2 linked regions of the Tamandua tetradactyla genome follow. The protein of the gene in region 2 purifies or fractionates together with the protein of the main gene of each other region. This does not show direct contact. Links are inferred from orthologs where the notes say so. Each region holds a gene or a part of one and is shown on either strand. Other genes may lie near its edges.

The links. Proteins that work in one complex are often made in the same cells at the same time.
Region 1: the proteins of RNF185 (region 2) and SRPRB purify together in Homo sapiens (affinity purification with mass spectrometry; 3 studies listed by BioGRID and IntAct, with this or other methods). This does not show direct contact. The link is inferred for Tamandua tetradactyla from reciprocal best matches to the Homo sapiens genes RNF185 and SRPRB.

Annotation. Positions count from the first base shown.
Region 1 is NC_135341.1:77,559,154-77,566,841, reverse strand, and holds the start of SRPRB (signal recognition particle receptor subunit beta), read right to left. Parts: upstream 3,186-7,688; 5' UTR 3,130-3,185; coding exon 2,976-3,129; intron 2,333-2,975; coding exon 2,238-2,332; intron 1,360-2,237; coding exon 1,282-1,359; intron 1-1,281. UniProt on the Homo sapiens protein: Component of the signal recognition particle (SRP) complex receptor (SR). Ensures, in conjunction with the SRP complex, the correct targeting of the nascent secretory proteins to the endoplasmic reticulum membrane system.
Region 2 is NC_135331.1:31,603,972-31,612,105, forward strand, and holds the start of RNF185 (E3 ubiquitin-protein ligase RNF185), read right to left. Parts: upstream 3,670-8,134; 5' UTR 3,518-3,669; intron 3,512-3,517; exon of another isoform or gene 3,386-3,511; intron 1-3,385. UniProt on the Homo sapiens protein: E3 ubiquitin-protein ligase that regulates selective mitochondrial autophagy by mediating 'Lys-63'-linked polyubiquitination of BNIP1.

The DNA of each region.
Region 1 (7,688 bases), on a different chromosome or scaffold from region 2:
CTAAAAAGAAAGACTAGATCTGAAACATAAGAGCACATTTCAGGTGCACAACAGCCACACGTGACCAGTGGCTACTGTATTAGAAAGCACAGGTCTAAAGCTTATCCTGGAATATCCCACTTAAAAAAAATCTAGTATATACCCCCAAAATTAATGATCTCCCAAACCTGAAATTTCAAAATCAGAATTCTTGGAAGTTTAAAAATTACTGGGCTAGAAAGGGTGCCATCAATGAAAAAGGCAAAATCTTCTCTAAGATACTTAAGAGGATGTCCCTTTAGAAAGCAGAAGGGCAAAACCCAAGGAGAAGATAAAAAGGTCTCTGAGACGACCATTCTAATTCATCCATCTACCCACCCACTCCTCCAACCAGCCATCATCAATCCATCACACACGCCAAATATTTATCAAGCATTATTATTACTTGTTTAGCAGGCCCTGTCTACATTCTGGACCTAAACAGGCACATAAAAAGGCTTTTCTGTGATTTTTTTATTGGTACTTTTGAAATACATATACTCTTTAAAATCACCTTTATAGCACTGTTTGTAAAAGCAAAAGATTATAACAAACGAAACCAAATGTCTATGAATAGGCGTCTGCTTAAATAAGGATTTAGTCGTATGGTACAGCCATACAGTGGAACACCATGCAGGTCATTAATGAACCAGGCAGTATTATGTGTACTAATGTGGGTGTAAAAAAAAAAACCCAAGCTAAATCAGCTATGTTGTTAAATAAACAGAGTTAAATGAAGGCAAAAGTGTGTTAAAAAAGAAAAAAAAAATATATATATATATACAGAAATATTTGCATGGAACATTTGGAAGATTACGAACGAAAATGGTTAAGTTCCTGCCTCTAAGAAAGGAAACTAGGTAGGTAATAGATCAGGTAAAACAACTTTTTCACCAATACTCTTTTTTTAATCTTTTGAATTTGTGTTCCATATATATACTTAAATAAGTATATTTAAAAAGTAAATGAAAAGGAAAAGGCTAATTGACCACCCTTTAGAAATCAAAGCAAAGATGGAAAGAAGACACAAAAACAAACAAAAAAAGGTGCTGTAACATCAGTATGAATAAGGTATAAAAAGGAGAGAAGGGCATTATTAAATCTGCTGCACAGATGATCAAGTGTGAAATTTGTCAAATGGAATACATTTCTCCATAAAAATAAGCTACAAATGGTACTTATAACCTCAGAATAATCCATCCTGGAAATGAACTTTCCCGACACAGCACAGTATTTTAACACTGTCAGATTCCAACACCTTACCCTGTTATTGTTGACTCTGTATACAGCAGAACTATCAGTGATGGAAGTCTGAGTGTCTCTGTAAAGACCTGATAACAACTGTAAGAAACAAGATGGGAGAGATCAGAGTAAACATATTACAGTAAAACTAAAAAGAGTAATGTTCTAACTCTCCCAGGTATAAGGTCAAATAAATGTTGCTTGCAATACCTGAAAAAGATCATGTGGACTCTTTTTACCTATAGAACAATCAAATTAATTGTAAACTTCATTCTCCACTCCCCAATGGGAGAAAAAATCATATTTTCCAACTAAGGTTAGTAGCCAAATTTGCTGACCTCACATAGACACGTTTATTTATTTATTTATTTTTTTGCTTGGGCAGGCACCAGGAATCAAACCCGGGTCTCCAGCATGGCAGGACAGAATTCTGCCACTGTGCAACTATCACACCACCCTTATATAGACACTTTTAACTATCAAAGATGATTAGAGATTAGATTTCTTTTGTGGAAAGGAAATAATTTATACTCTCAAAGAGAACAAAAAGGAAAAATAAAAACCTCTTGTATTCTCCAAAGAAACACACAGAGAATTAAAAATACCAAACATGCTAAAAATAAGTATTAATAAAAGAAGCCTGACTAGTCAGATATGTCAAAGAAAAATTACCCTCAAATTTTTGTTCGGACAAGCTTCCCAGAAGGGTTTGTTATACAAAAATACAGGCTTTCATTTCTTCAGCTGTTCTTAACCACAGGATGAAATCAGTTACCTAAAACCCTTCAAAGTGATAAAGACTAAATGTTAGCATCTGGCAAGTGCTAGAAAATAGAAATAGTAAAAAAAAAATCCCAGTTTATGGGTTGTCCAAGAATCTTTTTGTTCTCCCATAAAAACCATGAGTTCACAGGAACACTGGGACACCCTAAATTTTCCTATTAAGTTTACCAGAGGTGTAAATCAAAAGCATTTACCCTAACAAAAAGCAACGTCTTCCCTGAGTCACAAAGGCCAACGAAAAGGACGGCCCTCTGACTGCTCCTTCTGCTCCGGATGAGCTTCCAGAACACTGAAAAACAAAGAAAAATAACCAAAATTACGCCTTGATTATCAACAGTCTGCACGTATGGCTCGGGTGGAGGAATTAACAGAAGTCTCCCACAAAACACCTCATTCCACTGGAACTTACGTTTACTGTTATTACCACTATTACAACCGTTTCTGTGGTCGGCAGGGACCCACTTGGTGCCAGCTACGACCGTCAACTTTGCAGTGTCTGCACCACCGGCCCCCACTGTGGACTCCTCTGACGCAATCTGGTCTTAACCATCTTCAGTTATCGGCAGCGCCCAGCTCACAAACACAGCGAGCTCAGAAGCCGTGTAAAGACCCTCTGAGTTTTAACAGTAAGAAAAGCGGAAGGTGGACACAGCCCTTCAAAGACTGGTCGGGGCTTCCAAAATTAACCGCGCTCGGGCACAGCGGGTGACCCACGAACTAAGAATTACCCGTGCCGGGCAGAACCGCTCTCCGGGAGTCGCCGGGGGCCACCCTTCAGGGAAGTACTGCTCCTATTGCTTCAGTGATAGAAGGGGTTAATGCCCCTCTCTAGACGCCCCCAAAGCGCCCCTCGGCCCCGTGCAGGAGCGCGGCCGAAAAGCCTGGACCACGGCCCGCCCCGCACCCGCCAGCACGGCCGGCCGGCTTCTTACCTAGCGTCAGCAGCACTGCGACAAACGCCACCACAGCGGACAGCAGCGTCGGATCCCGCTGCTGAAGTACTTCACGCAAGGAATCTAGGTAGGGCTGGAAGCCATTCCCGGCACCGCCGCCGTCCGTCAAACGCTGGGACTCCACGGAAGCCATAGTCGAGTCGCGTGGTCCCCGTCGCCCAGAAAGCGACGTGGCCCTGCTCTCTGCGCAGGCGCGGGAGCAGAGCATCACGGGAGTAGTAGTTCCCAAGCTGGTTTCGTGGCCCGGGTGCGGGGAGCCCCGGCCCACAGGGATTAGTCGCTCTCCGGGACGCCGAACTCTTCCTGAACGGGGGATGGGGGTGGGGGGCTGTAATAGATATTTGAGGAGTGGCACACAACCTTTAAGATCTGGATCTAGCGTCACCTCCTTCTTCATGATTGTTGAGAGAATGTTGGAATGAATGAAATGAATGGCTCAAGAAATCTCCACAAAGAATTTCCTCTCACTTCCTGGGTGAGGTGAGCCTTATGAGGAACTCAAGCGTCATTCAAACTTTTAATCTGAATATAATATAGCAAGGGATATGACAGAAGTTTGAACAGTGTGACATGGAAATACAGAAAAGGGCGCCGAATCCGTCATGGGTACAGGGCAAAGCTCCTACAGGAAAGTGGCTAGAAGGAAGTCCTGAGGGACAAGCTTCTGCAGGCAGTAAGAGAAATATGAGTACAAGAAGCAATTCCATATTCTCTGACTGTAAAGCAAAGGCTGAAACTCAAATGTCTACATCAAGGGAAGCAGCCAAGAAGCTCTACCAATGAGGAGCAGGCACTGTTGAATGCTGCAGTGGTCAATCTCTGTCTAAAGAGAACACCCACGATTCATGCAGTCAGATTTGTAGGACCAGAGTGGCCAGTACTTCCAAGAGCCAGAAAGGTGGGTTTTTACGAGGAATTTTCTATTTTTAAAATTTGGGCAAGTGATCAAAACATTAGAAAAATTGTGGTCCAAACAAAACACCTCTGTGGGCCAGAAGTGGCCCCCTTGGAGGCTGCCAGTTTTCTATCTGTCATTAAAGAGATGGTGGGAAGTGGCAGTCTGGGAAGCTGGGAAGATAGGCTGAAGCCAGACCCGAAGGGACTTTGTATGCTATGCTGAGCAACTTAGGCTTTTTCAGAGTGCAATAAGAATTTTTAATTAGTGGTGACACGGGTAATTGGTGGATCTGTGGAGAGCTGTGACTTGAGAGAGAAAACACTGCAGGTGACCAGCTGGAGGATGTTGCAGAGTTTAGGCAAAAGGTGCTGGTGGTCTGACCAAGGACAGAGGTAGGTATGGAAAGCAGGGCACAGATTTGAGAGATGTTTAAAAAATAATATATACAAAATGTGGTGATAAGTTGGGTATAGGAAGTTAAGGAGGAGAGCTATCAAGTCTGCATCTTAAGAGGTTGGTATGGGTGACTGAAAATGTCTTATTGTCATCAAGTGAATTAGGAAACTCACTGAGTTTGGAGTTTGGGGTAGGGAATGTAGTCAGAATGAAATTGCATCTCTTTTGTATATGTTGAGTTTCAGAGAAATCTGAAAACTTATGCCCGGAAGATAATACTATAGACCAATGTCAGGTTCCGGCACTGAGTGTTAGATTTTCACTGTGGAGTCATGGATAAATAAGAGGGCATTAAAATCATGCAGAGCATGAAGACTGAGAAGGAAATGGGAAGAGGAAGCCATAAAATCGCCTAAGAAAAAATCATTAGTGCCACAGGACTAAAATGGTTGTGGCTGGGCCTGAAAGTGGTCAGTAGCATCTCTTACAGCAGAGAAGTTCCTGTTATATGGACTTGAATGAGAAAAGGGGGCAGAAAGAAGAGGAGAGATGGGTGCAAAAGCCAGAGTGGGGGGTGGATGAGAAGGAGAGTGGAAAATGAGGATCATTGCTAACATTAATGGGTTCTTGCTAGTGCCAGGCACTGTTCTAAATGTCTTTAATGTATTGATGAGTTTAATCCTCTGTTCTACTTTGCTAGCTGCTGGAATGCAATATACCAGAAACAAAATGTCTTTTAAAAAGGGGAATTTAGTAAGTTGCTAGTTTATAGTTCTAAGGCCGAGAAAATGTCCCAATTAAAACAAGTCTATACAAATGTCCAGTCTAAGGCATCCAGGGTAAGACACCTTGGTTCAAGAAGGCCATTGAAGTTCAGGGTTTCTCTCTCAAGTGAGAAGACACATGGTGAATGTCAGGGTTTCTCTCTCAGCTGGAAAGGCATGTGGCGAACACAGCGTCATCTGCTAGCTTTCTCTCCTGGCTTCCTGTTTCATGAAGCTTCCCGGGAGGAATTTTGCTTCTTCATCTCCAAAGGTTGCTGGCTGGTGGACTCTCTGCTTCCCGTGGCTATGTCGTTCTGCTCTCTCAGAATCTTCAGCTTTCTCCAAAATGTTTCCTCTTTTATAGGGTTCCAGTAAACTAATCAAGACCCACCCAAATGGGTGGAGACACATCTCCATCTATCCAGTTTAACAACCACTCTTGATTGAGTCATATCTCCAGGGAGATGATCTAATTACAGATCAACGTGCAGTACTGAATAGGGATTAGAAGAAATGGCTGGATTTATAAAACGGAATTAGAATTAAAACATGGTTCTTCTAGAGAAGAAAAGAATGACAAGAGAACCAGAGTCCGCCAGCCAGTGACCTTTGGAGATGAAGAAGGAAAATGCCTCTCTGGGAACTTCATGAAGCAAGAAGACTGGAGAGAAAACTGGTCAATGCCGCCATGTTCACTATGTTCCCTTCCAGCTGTGAGAGAAATGATAATGTCATTGGCCTTGAACCAAGTTATCTTTCCCTGGATGCCTTAGATTGGACATTTCTATAGACTTGTTTTAATTTCGACAATTTCACAGCCTTAGAACAAACCAGCATGTCCTCACAACAACCTATTATCCCAATCTTATAGATGGGGAAATTGAGGCAGACGTTAAGTATCTTGCTTGGGCTTACATAGTAAGGGGCTGACTGGGTTTGATACCAAGCCCTCCAGCTCTGTATGCTTAACCATATACTCTAACATAAGTATGAATCAGCTTCAAAGCATGTGATTGGTAAAGGTAAGCAATAGTGACTCCAAATTGATGAAAGGCATTTAGAAAGTGAGGTTTAAGTAAGCCGATTATGCTTTATTTTTATTAGCATTATCAGTTAAAAATATCAGAACTGTCAGTACTTGCACCACATTCTGTTTGTTTTTTCTTGTGGTCCTGACCCCTGCTCTGCATTCATCACCCAACACACACGCGCGCGCACACACACACATGCGCGCACACACGCACACGCACGCACACACATGCACACACACACACATTGCTTCTTTAAGATAATCATTGATGCCTCTTGAGAAAAACTACAGCTTGGATTCTACCATTAGACCTGCTATTAGTAACCAAAATGCAGGGGCGGAGGAAAGTCCACATATGGAGAACTCTGACCATAACTATCTTAACAGTATAGGGATTAAGTCAGTGGTATGTGAATGACAAAGTTCTGGCATGGTGGTGAAGTTTGGGAAGGAGTAAATAGGGTTTAAGAAAACAGTCGTATCTTTTTTTTTCAGTCTATTTTCTGGGAATTACAAAGGCAGAAGAAATGTGCACAGCTTCCACACTCAAGTGAGAAGGCAGCTGTACCATCTCAGGAATGAGAGCAGCCAGAGGATAGGACCTGCTGCTTCCTGTCTTCATGCATTACCACCTCGCAGACAGCACAGGCTTCCGGTATCTCTGTGAGGACAAATATAGAAAAAGGACATGCAGATACTGACTGTTGCTTGCTGAAAAGTGTTCTGTTCATTGGTTCAAATAGCAGATTGAGAGTTACAATGAAACACAAGTATTCAGACAATTTTTTCCTTTTCTTCTGTGAGAAAAGTGTCACATTCAGCAAAAACATTTCTTTAACTTCTTTTATTGTGAAATATATATATACAAAAAAAGAAATTTTCGAAGTACATTATAATAAGCAGTTATAGAACAGATTTTAAAGTTTGGTATGGGTTACAGTTCCATGATTTTTCATTTTTTCTTCTAGCTGCTCCAAGACACGAGATCAACAGAAATGTCAACATAATGATTCAGTAGTCATACTCATTTGTTAAATCCTATCTTCTCTGTTATACTCCTTGTGCCAGTTTGAAAGGATTTATGTACCTGGAAAAGCCATGTTTAAATCCTAATCAATCTTGTGAGCGCAACAGTTTCTTCTAATCCCTATTCAGTACTGTAGGTTGGAAACTTGATTAGGTTATTTCCATGGAGATGTGAACTGAATCAATTGTGGGTATTAAATTTGATTAGATGGAGGCATGTCTCCACCCATTCTACATGGGTCTTAATTAGTTTACTGGAATCCTATAAAAGAGGAGACACTTTGGAGAGAGTTCCTTTTGAGAATGAGGAGAGAGCCGCAGAACCACGACAGAAGGACGAGAGAACCAGAGTTCACCAGCCAGTGACCTTTGGAGATGAAGAAGGAAAAGTCCTCTCAGGGAGCTTCATGAAGCAAGAGGACTGGAGAGAAAATTGGTCAATGCTGCCATGTTCACTATGTGCCCTTCCAGCTGAGAGAGAAACGATAACATCATCGGCCTTGAACCAAGGTATCTTTCCCTGGATGCCTTAGATTGGACATTTCTATAGACTTGTTTTAATTTGGACAATTTCACAG
Region 2 (8,134 bases):
AAATTGGTAGATATGGGTACCTGGGGTTGGGGTACATTGGATATTTTGGGAATATAAGTACATATATATATAGGATATTTTGGGTATATTAGTATATATTGGGTATTAGAAGTATATATTGGATGTTTTTGGTATATACTATTTTTGGGGGTCATATGGTAGTTCTATATTTAACTCATTAAGGAACTACAAATTGTTTTTCCACAGCAGCTACACCATTTTTCATTCCCACCAATAATGTATTAGGGTTCCTATTTCTTTGCATCCTTGACAGCAACTGCTATTTTCTGTTTTTAATAGCTATTCAGGGTTTCTTTGGGGGTGATGGAAATGTTCTGGATTCACACAGTAGTGATGGTTGCACAACCTTGTGAATATTCTAAAAACCACTGAACTGCACACTTTAAAATGTTGAATCTTTAAAATTGAGATACTCATTACAAAACAACTGGCCAGTCTTCTTCAAAGCGTTACACTCATCAAAGACAAAAAAAAAAAAAAAAAAAAAAAAAAAAAAAGGTGACTCAGGAACTGCTTCAAGTTGGAAAAGACTAGGCAGATGTGACAACTAAATGCAATGTAGGATCCTGAATTGGGTCCTGGACAAGAAAAAGGGCATTAGCGAAACAAAAGGCAAAATCTGAATGAGGTCTATAGATTAGTTGGTAGCACTGCACCAGTGTTTATTTACTTGTTTAGATAATTTTAATATGGTTACATAAGATGTTAACATTAGGGGAAGATAGCTGGAGGGTATTCAGGAACTTTGAGTATTATTTTTGTGACATTTTTAAGTCAAAAATTATTTCAAAACAAAAAGTTAAAAATTATAATAATGCATGTCAGATGTCAGCAATTTTCTTTTTTTGTAAAGGGTCATATAATAATAAATACTTCAGGCTTTGTGTGCCATATGCTCTCTCAGGCATATACTCACCTCTGCAGCTGTAGCATTGAAGTAGCCAAAGATAACATGTAAATGAATGGGTGTGACTGAGTTCCAATAAAACTTTATTATGGATACTAATATCTGAGTTTTCCATAATTTTTCACAATCATGAAACTGTCTTCTTTTGATTTATTATCAACCATTTAAAAATGTAAAAACCATTCTTACCTCATGGGCCATACATAAATAGACAATATGGCCAGATTTGGTCCTTAAGGCAATAGTTTGCAGACCCCTGCGCTTTAGGTCAGAATATACCAATGTGTGCCTCATAAAAAAAAAGTTTCATATCAAATAAGCTTGACAAAGCTACATTAAACAAAATTATTGTAGGACTTCCCAGCGCTTTTAACGTGGTACTATACACTGAGAACCTCCAAGAAGGGATAATAGTAAAAAATTTTTCCCAAACTTATTTTTACCACAGAACCATTTTTTTCAGAGGCATCTCTTCAGACCACTGGTCTGAAGAACACACTTAAGAAAAGCCAATTTAGGTACTTCTTCAAAGGGGAACTTTCAAACTGAGACGTTTCAAAAATACTTATCTCCCCACCACCAAATTAAAATCACTGTACCCAGCACCTAGATAATATCTGAACAAATATTTCACAATTTTTTTAAGTCCTAGGAAACATAAACAAGCAAGTAGATAAACACAGGCAGGAAGTCTTGGCTCAATCCCAACCTTTTTTTTGGCAGGTCAGCAGAATAGGGTCATAACATGGAATCTCTGCCCATAGAGCAACTTAAACATTCTACCAGGCTTTTAAGTGATCTACTTGGAAGGAGTTTTGATGTTTGATTAACTAATGAAATACTAGAAACATTATACGTAGATTACATGTAAGTGAGAATGAACCAGCAAGTCAAATCCAGAAAACTGACTTTTTATACTGGATGAAAAGTTAGCAACAAAATGCAAAAATTCTCTCATTTGGCACAATACACCACACACTGCAAAAGAGAGGATTAAAAAGGGATTTATGTCCCAGGAAGGAGAAGTTGGCCTGAACAACCTCAAGAGGCCCTTCCAAGCAAGAGTCCTCAATTCTGTGATCCAAAGAGCTCACTGGCTTTTCCTGATCAAATGCAAAGACTTAAGGGCATTTCTAAGGTGTCCTTAGAAAATAAGCTACTAAACAATGGGGAACACATCCTGCTTTCATTCAGTAAACATTTAAGGAGCCAGGATCAGATGTTGGGCCATTCCAAAGTCCCTGAAAAGAAGAATGGTTCACAGAACAAGGAGGAAAAAATTACTTAAGGTCATAAGACTCTGCTCCCAGGAGATCTGCATGGAGAGTGGGGGTGGGGTTCAAGAAAAGGAGGCAGAAAAAAGAAACAACACATTTACCCTGTGGGCAGAGTCAGTATCAGAAAGAGTCAAAATAACTAGTTAGAATCAGAGACTTTCAAGTTAGAAAGGACTTCAGTCTAATACTGGTAAACTTCTGTCAAGAGAGAATTCTCTTCCTCTTGAGGTAATCCATTCCATTGATGGTCACCTCTGACAGTTCCTCCATTAAATCCTTCTATTAAGTCAAAATCTCATCTTCCAGTAGAATTCACCTATTGGTCCTAGTTCTGTCTCTTTCATCCTCAAAGATGACGTAGGAGCCCTCTTTGCCATAGTAATTCTTCAGTATTTGAACACAGTACCCTTCCAGTACTGTCTTTTCTCAACTAAACATCCCATTCTTTCAAGATTCTGCAGATTCCAGCTGCCTCAAAGCGAAAAATGGATATCAAGTCTTCACAGCAAGAAGTACTTAAGATCGATGGGTTTCAAAAATCAGTACTTGCAGGATGCCCCAGAGTACGTTCAAACTGCAGAATCCCAAGTTTCTATCGAGATTCTAAATCAGAGGCCTGAAATGCGGCCCAGAAATCTATATCTTAAAGCATGTATCCTGGCAGATCTCGAAGCATTTGGTGTACAACCATATTAAGAGAAACACTGTCCCGGGCAGGCCATAGTGGCTCAGCAGGTAAGAGTGCTTGCCTGCCATGTCTGAGGACCCGGGTTCGTTTTCCCGGTGCCTGCCCATGTAAAAAAAAAAATAAAAACAAAAAAAATTTTTAAAAAAAGAAACACTGTCCCACTTTACAAGCGAGGAACTGAGGTCCAGCACAAGGAAGGGATCTGGTCAAAACTGCACAACCAGCTGTGAGCGGCGAGTTCTAGAATTTACGTCTTTGACTCCCAAACAACTCTGTTCAACACGCTTCCCGGCCTCGGATTTTCCACTCGGGACAAACTCGTTAAAAGTCCCTTCACTTGAGGAAAGCAGCCCCGCGCGGGGGCCAAAAAGAAACTTAGGGTAAGGTAAGTCTCTGCCTGGATGGGACAGCCCGCGGGAGCCCCGCTCCTTCTCGGGCCTCAGTTTCCTCAATCTGTAATCATAAGAAGACCACAACGTCAACACGACCTACCTGCTGAGGCGGAGGGCCCGGGGCAAGGCTGGGCTTGCTGTCGCTGGGACCCGCGGCCCTCCGGAAGTCCCAACATAGTCCCTCGATCCCCAACCTCGACGGTCCCTAGCCACTGCCCCGGCTCCCACATACCTGCTTCCTCCGCGCAGATAACGCCACCAAGGACACGCCAGCCGGTGGCCTATTTGCCGTCTGTCCAGTCAGTTGGTCCGGACGGACCTACGATCCTTCCCACGCGAACTCCGGTCACCTGACGCGGACCCGCCCCCCCTTACAGGGACTTCCGGCTCCAACTGGAAAAGGTGGGTCCGACGCACTGACTTCCTGCCTAGGCCCCCGGATCTAAGGTTCCGTCTGCCGGCAGGAAGCGTAGGAATGCAGGGACAATTGAATGTTTCCCACGTAACCTGAAATCGGGGTTCCATGAAGAAGTCGATTGTAGGGTTGGGACGAGGAAAGCCTCATATGAGCCTAAAACATCTGTTGCACAAGAATGTGAGGAAGTGTCCTAGGACACAGGAGCTAACTCAAAAGGATAATCTGGGCATCAAAAGACATAATATTATTGGGTTATAGCCAAGTGAGTAAAGTAGTAATCCATGAGTCTTTACTGACCTAAAGACGTGAGTAAGTAAATGAAAGGGGAAGAAGGGAAAGTTCTTTCTTATAGTAGAATGCCAACTAATAATCATGATAGAATTAGAAAATCAACAGTAGATGGCAAAACTAGAGACATAGGATACTTACAAAATAAAAGGGTCTCCTATAAATTACCAATTAATGACAAAGGGAAAATGAGTAATTTTATAGAGGCAAAAACCTAGTAGAAAAAAATGATCAAAGTAATCACAGTTGACATAATCAGGAAAGGGTCAGGTGGATATCATGTGTCTCCTAATAAGACACACTGAAAAGGACACAGCATCTCTTCTCTGATAATTCTGCTGAAAATGCATAGTCCCAACCTCAGGAGGAAGCCTCTGACAAACCCAAATCAAGAGGCATTCTACAAAATAACTGACCTATACTCTTCAAAAATGTCAGGGGCATGAAAGACAGAGAAAAACTAAGGAAATTTTGCAGTCAAAAGGTTACTAAAGAGACATGACAACTAAATGTGATGTGCAGTGCTAAACTGAATCCTAGGTTAGAAGGGAAAAATAGTTGTAATGGATAATACTGGCACAGGTGATGACATTTGAATAAGGGTTGCAGAATAACTACTAATATGTATGGTATCAATGTTAAATTTTCTGAGTTTTTATCATTGTACTGTGTTATATTAAGAAAACATCCTGGTTCTTTGGAAATATTCACTGAAATATTTAGGAAGTAAGGGGTACAATGTCACCAACTTTTAAAAATTCAGAAAAGTGTTGTGGGTATATTTATATGGATATGTAGAATGGTTAAGCAAATAAAGCAAAATGTAAACAATTTTAAAGAAAATCTAGTTAAAGCATATTTTGGGGTTTCTTGTATAAATTTTGTGACTTTTCTGTGAAAAAAGAAATAAAAAGAAAAACTTGCCAAGAAATGGGAAGTGTGGAATTGCCTGGGTCCTAGCTCATTCATATATTTATCTATCAAACATTAATTGCTTTCCACATGCCAACTCCTGTACCCGGGACTGGTTATACAGCAAGAGACAAGATCTTTGCTTGCAAATCTAGTGGGAAATATATTACACATGTAATCACTCAACTAATTGGCTACTTAAAATAATCATAGCTAACATTTAGTGAGCCTTTTTCAGCACAGTACACAGAATGTTTCATTTGATCATCACAGGAAGCAGCCTTATGAGTGCATTTGGTGCTTACCCCATTTTACAAATGGGTTAAGGTTTAAAAGTTTGCACGATTTTATCATTCTATAAAAAGTTAAGTTTTCATGTCACATACCGATAGGTGGTAGAGCTGGGATTTCAACCCAGGCGGTTGTTCTCTTGAATTCTTGATACCCATCTATGCTAGTTTGAAAGAATGTATGGACCCCTAGAAAAGCCATATTTTAATCAAAATCTCATTTCGTAAAATGGCAGAATAATCCCTATTCAATACTGTATGTCTGAATCTGTAGATAGATCATCTTCCTGGAGATGTCTCCCAATTAAGAGCGGTTGTTAAACTGGATTAGGGGAGCCGTGTCTCCACCCATTTGGGTGGGTCTTGATTGGTTTACTAGAGTCCTATAAAAAAGGAAACATTTTGGAGAATGAGAGTTTCAAAGAGGGAAGAGAACGCTGCAGCACCACAAAGCAGAGAGTCCATCAGCCAGCGCTTTGGAGATGAAGAAGGAAAACGCCTTCCGGGGAGCTTCATGAAACAGGAAGCCAAGAGAAGAAGCTAGCAGATGACGCCGTGTTTGCCATGTGCCCTTCCAGATGTGAGAGGAACCCTGACTGGGTTCGCCATGTGCTCTTCCACTTGAGAGAGAAACTCTGAACCTCATCAGCCTTCTTGAACCAAGGTGTCTTTCCCTGGATGCCTTTGATTGGCCATTTCTATAGACTTGTTCTAACTGGGACATTTTCTTGGCCTTAGAACTGTAAACTAGCAACTTATTAAATTCCTCCTTTTTAAAACCATTCTGTTTCTGGTATATTGCATTCTGGCAGCTAGCAAACTAGAACACCATCTTCGTCATGTTATTCCTTCAGTAAACATTTATTAAGCGTATACAATGATCCCAGACACTATAAGAGATTGGGCCTGACTTGGGGTGAAGCTAATAGATGAAATTAACTGAGAGATGAATCTGCTTAGCTCCCAGAGGCTGGTGTTCTGAGTTTCCTCAATTATCAGCCTTCTCTGTGGTTCCTATGAACAAGGGGTAGCACAGGGAATGTTTCCAGTTAGGAAAATCTGGATTGGAGTCCAGCCTCTCAGAGAGAAAAGTAGCTCCTGACACTAGGAATCTGCCTGGCACCCAAGCCTTGAGTTACTGTGAACTGGCACTCACAGATTGCCTGCGTTGTTGTTCTGTTAAACACAGACAATTTCATAGACCATCAATATCAGAAAAGGCCACTCTGTGGATCAGGCTTGAAAGATGACAATACCACAGTCATGTCTGAACTCAGACAAAACACGAGCATTGTCCAAACCACGAAAAGAATCGAACATTTCCCTCTCCTGGTTCATATGGAAATTGTTATGTCTCTACCAATTACAGCTTTAGCTTCAGCCTAGTTTTCCCTCTTTCTAGATAAGATTTATTAAGATACCTGCTCATCAGTGTGGACCGCCAAGGCTGTAGGCTGAGCCCCCAGTTTTGGGGTTTGTTCATGTGAAACTTAACCCCACAAAGGACAGGTCAAGTCTACTTAAAATTTAGGCCTAAGATTCACCCCCAAGAGAGCCTCTTTTGTTGCTCAGATGTGGCCTCTCTCTCCAGCCAGCACATCGAGCAGTCTCACCACCCGCCTCCTGTCTATGTGGGACATGACTCCCAGGGGTGTGGACCTTCCTGGCAACGTGGGACAGAAATCCTGAAATGAGCTTAGACTCAGCATCAAGGAATTGAGAAAACCTTCTGGACCAAAAGGGGGAAGAGTGAAATGAGACCAAGTTTCAATGGCTGAGAGATTCCAAACAGAGTTGAGAGGTTATCCTGGAGGTTATTCTTACACATTAAGTAGATATCACCTTGTTATTCAAGATGTAGTGGAGAGGCTGGAGGGAACTGCCTGAGAATGTAGAGCTGTGTTCCAGTAGCCATGTTTCTTGAGGATGATTGAATAATGATATAGCTTTCACAATGTGACTGTGTGATTGTGAAAACCTTGTCTGATGCTCCTTTTATCTACCGTGTCAACAGACAAGTAGAACATATGGAATAAAAATAAGGAATGGGGAAACAAATGTTAAAATAAATTTAGTTTGAAATGCTAGTGATCAATGAAAGTGAGGGGTAAGGGGTATAGTATGTATAATCTTTTTTTTTTCTGTTATTGTTTTATTTCTTTTTCAGTTGTCTTTTTATTTCTTTTTCTGAATTGATGCAAGTGTTCTAAGAAATGATGAATATGCAACTATGTGATGATATTGAGAATTACTGATTATATATGTAGAACGGAATGATATGTTAATGTTTTTGTTTGTTCTTAATTTTTTAAATTAATGAATAAATTAAATAAAAAAAGATACCCACTCATGGCATCCAATCCAGAGCAATGCCCCACTTCCACAAATCCTCTTCAAGACCACTTATGAGTCCTTTCTAACATTCTATTACTGAGACGTCCCGTTGTTTCCCATGGGTTGCATTTCCCCTTCACTGCAAGGAATAACAAAGCCAACTTGTTCAACCACAGTTGCGTTTCTGGTGGTCTTTGGCTAGAGGTCATCGATCTCTCGCTAGATACATGACTTACAGACGCCTCCGTTTTCTCATCTATTAAATGGGAAGATTTCTTCTGATCTCAAAAGATTATTGTAAGAATACCTGGAACAGATTTAGACCAGAGTGAGCGCTCCAGATATTTTTTAAAAAATTCATGTTTGAGCTACTACTTTCTTTGAAGAAGTCACCGAGGACTTTCATTGTGAAAAGACAGCAATCGTCTTCAATTAAAATAAACTTGCTGATCATATTCCCCATTGTTCTTTCTATTGGGCTCATAAGGCACGCTAAAGAAAGACTGCCACTTGTCCTTTCTCACAAATACGGTCACTCTCATGGTCTCTTCTGGAAAGCAATCGTCCGTTCCTAAAACTTTAGTCTTAGAGAATCAGCACTGTTTAT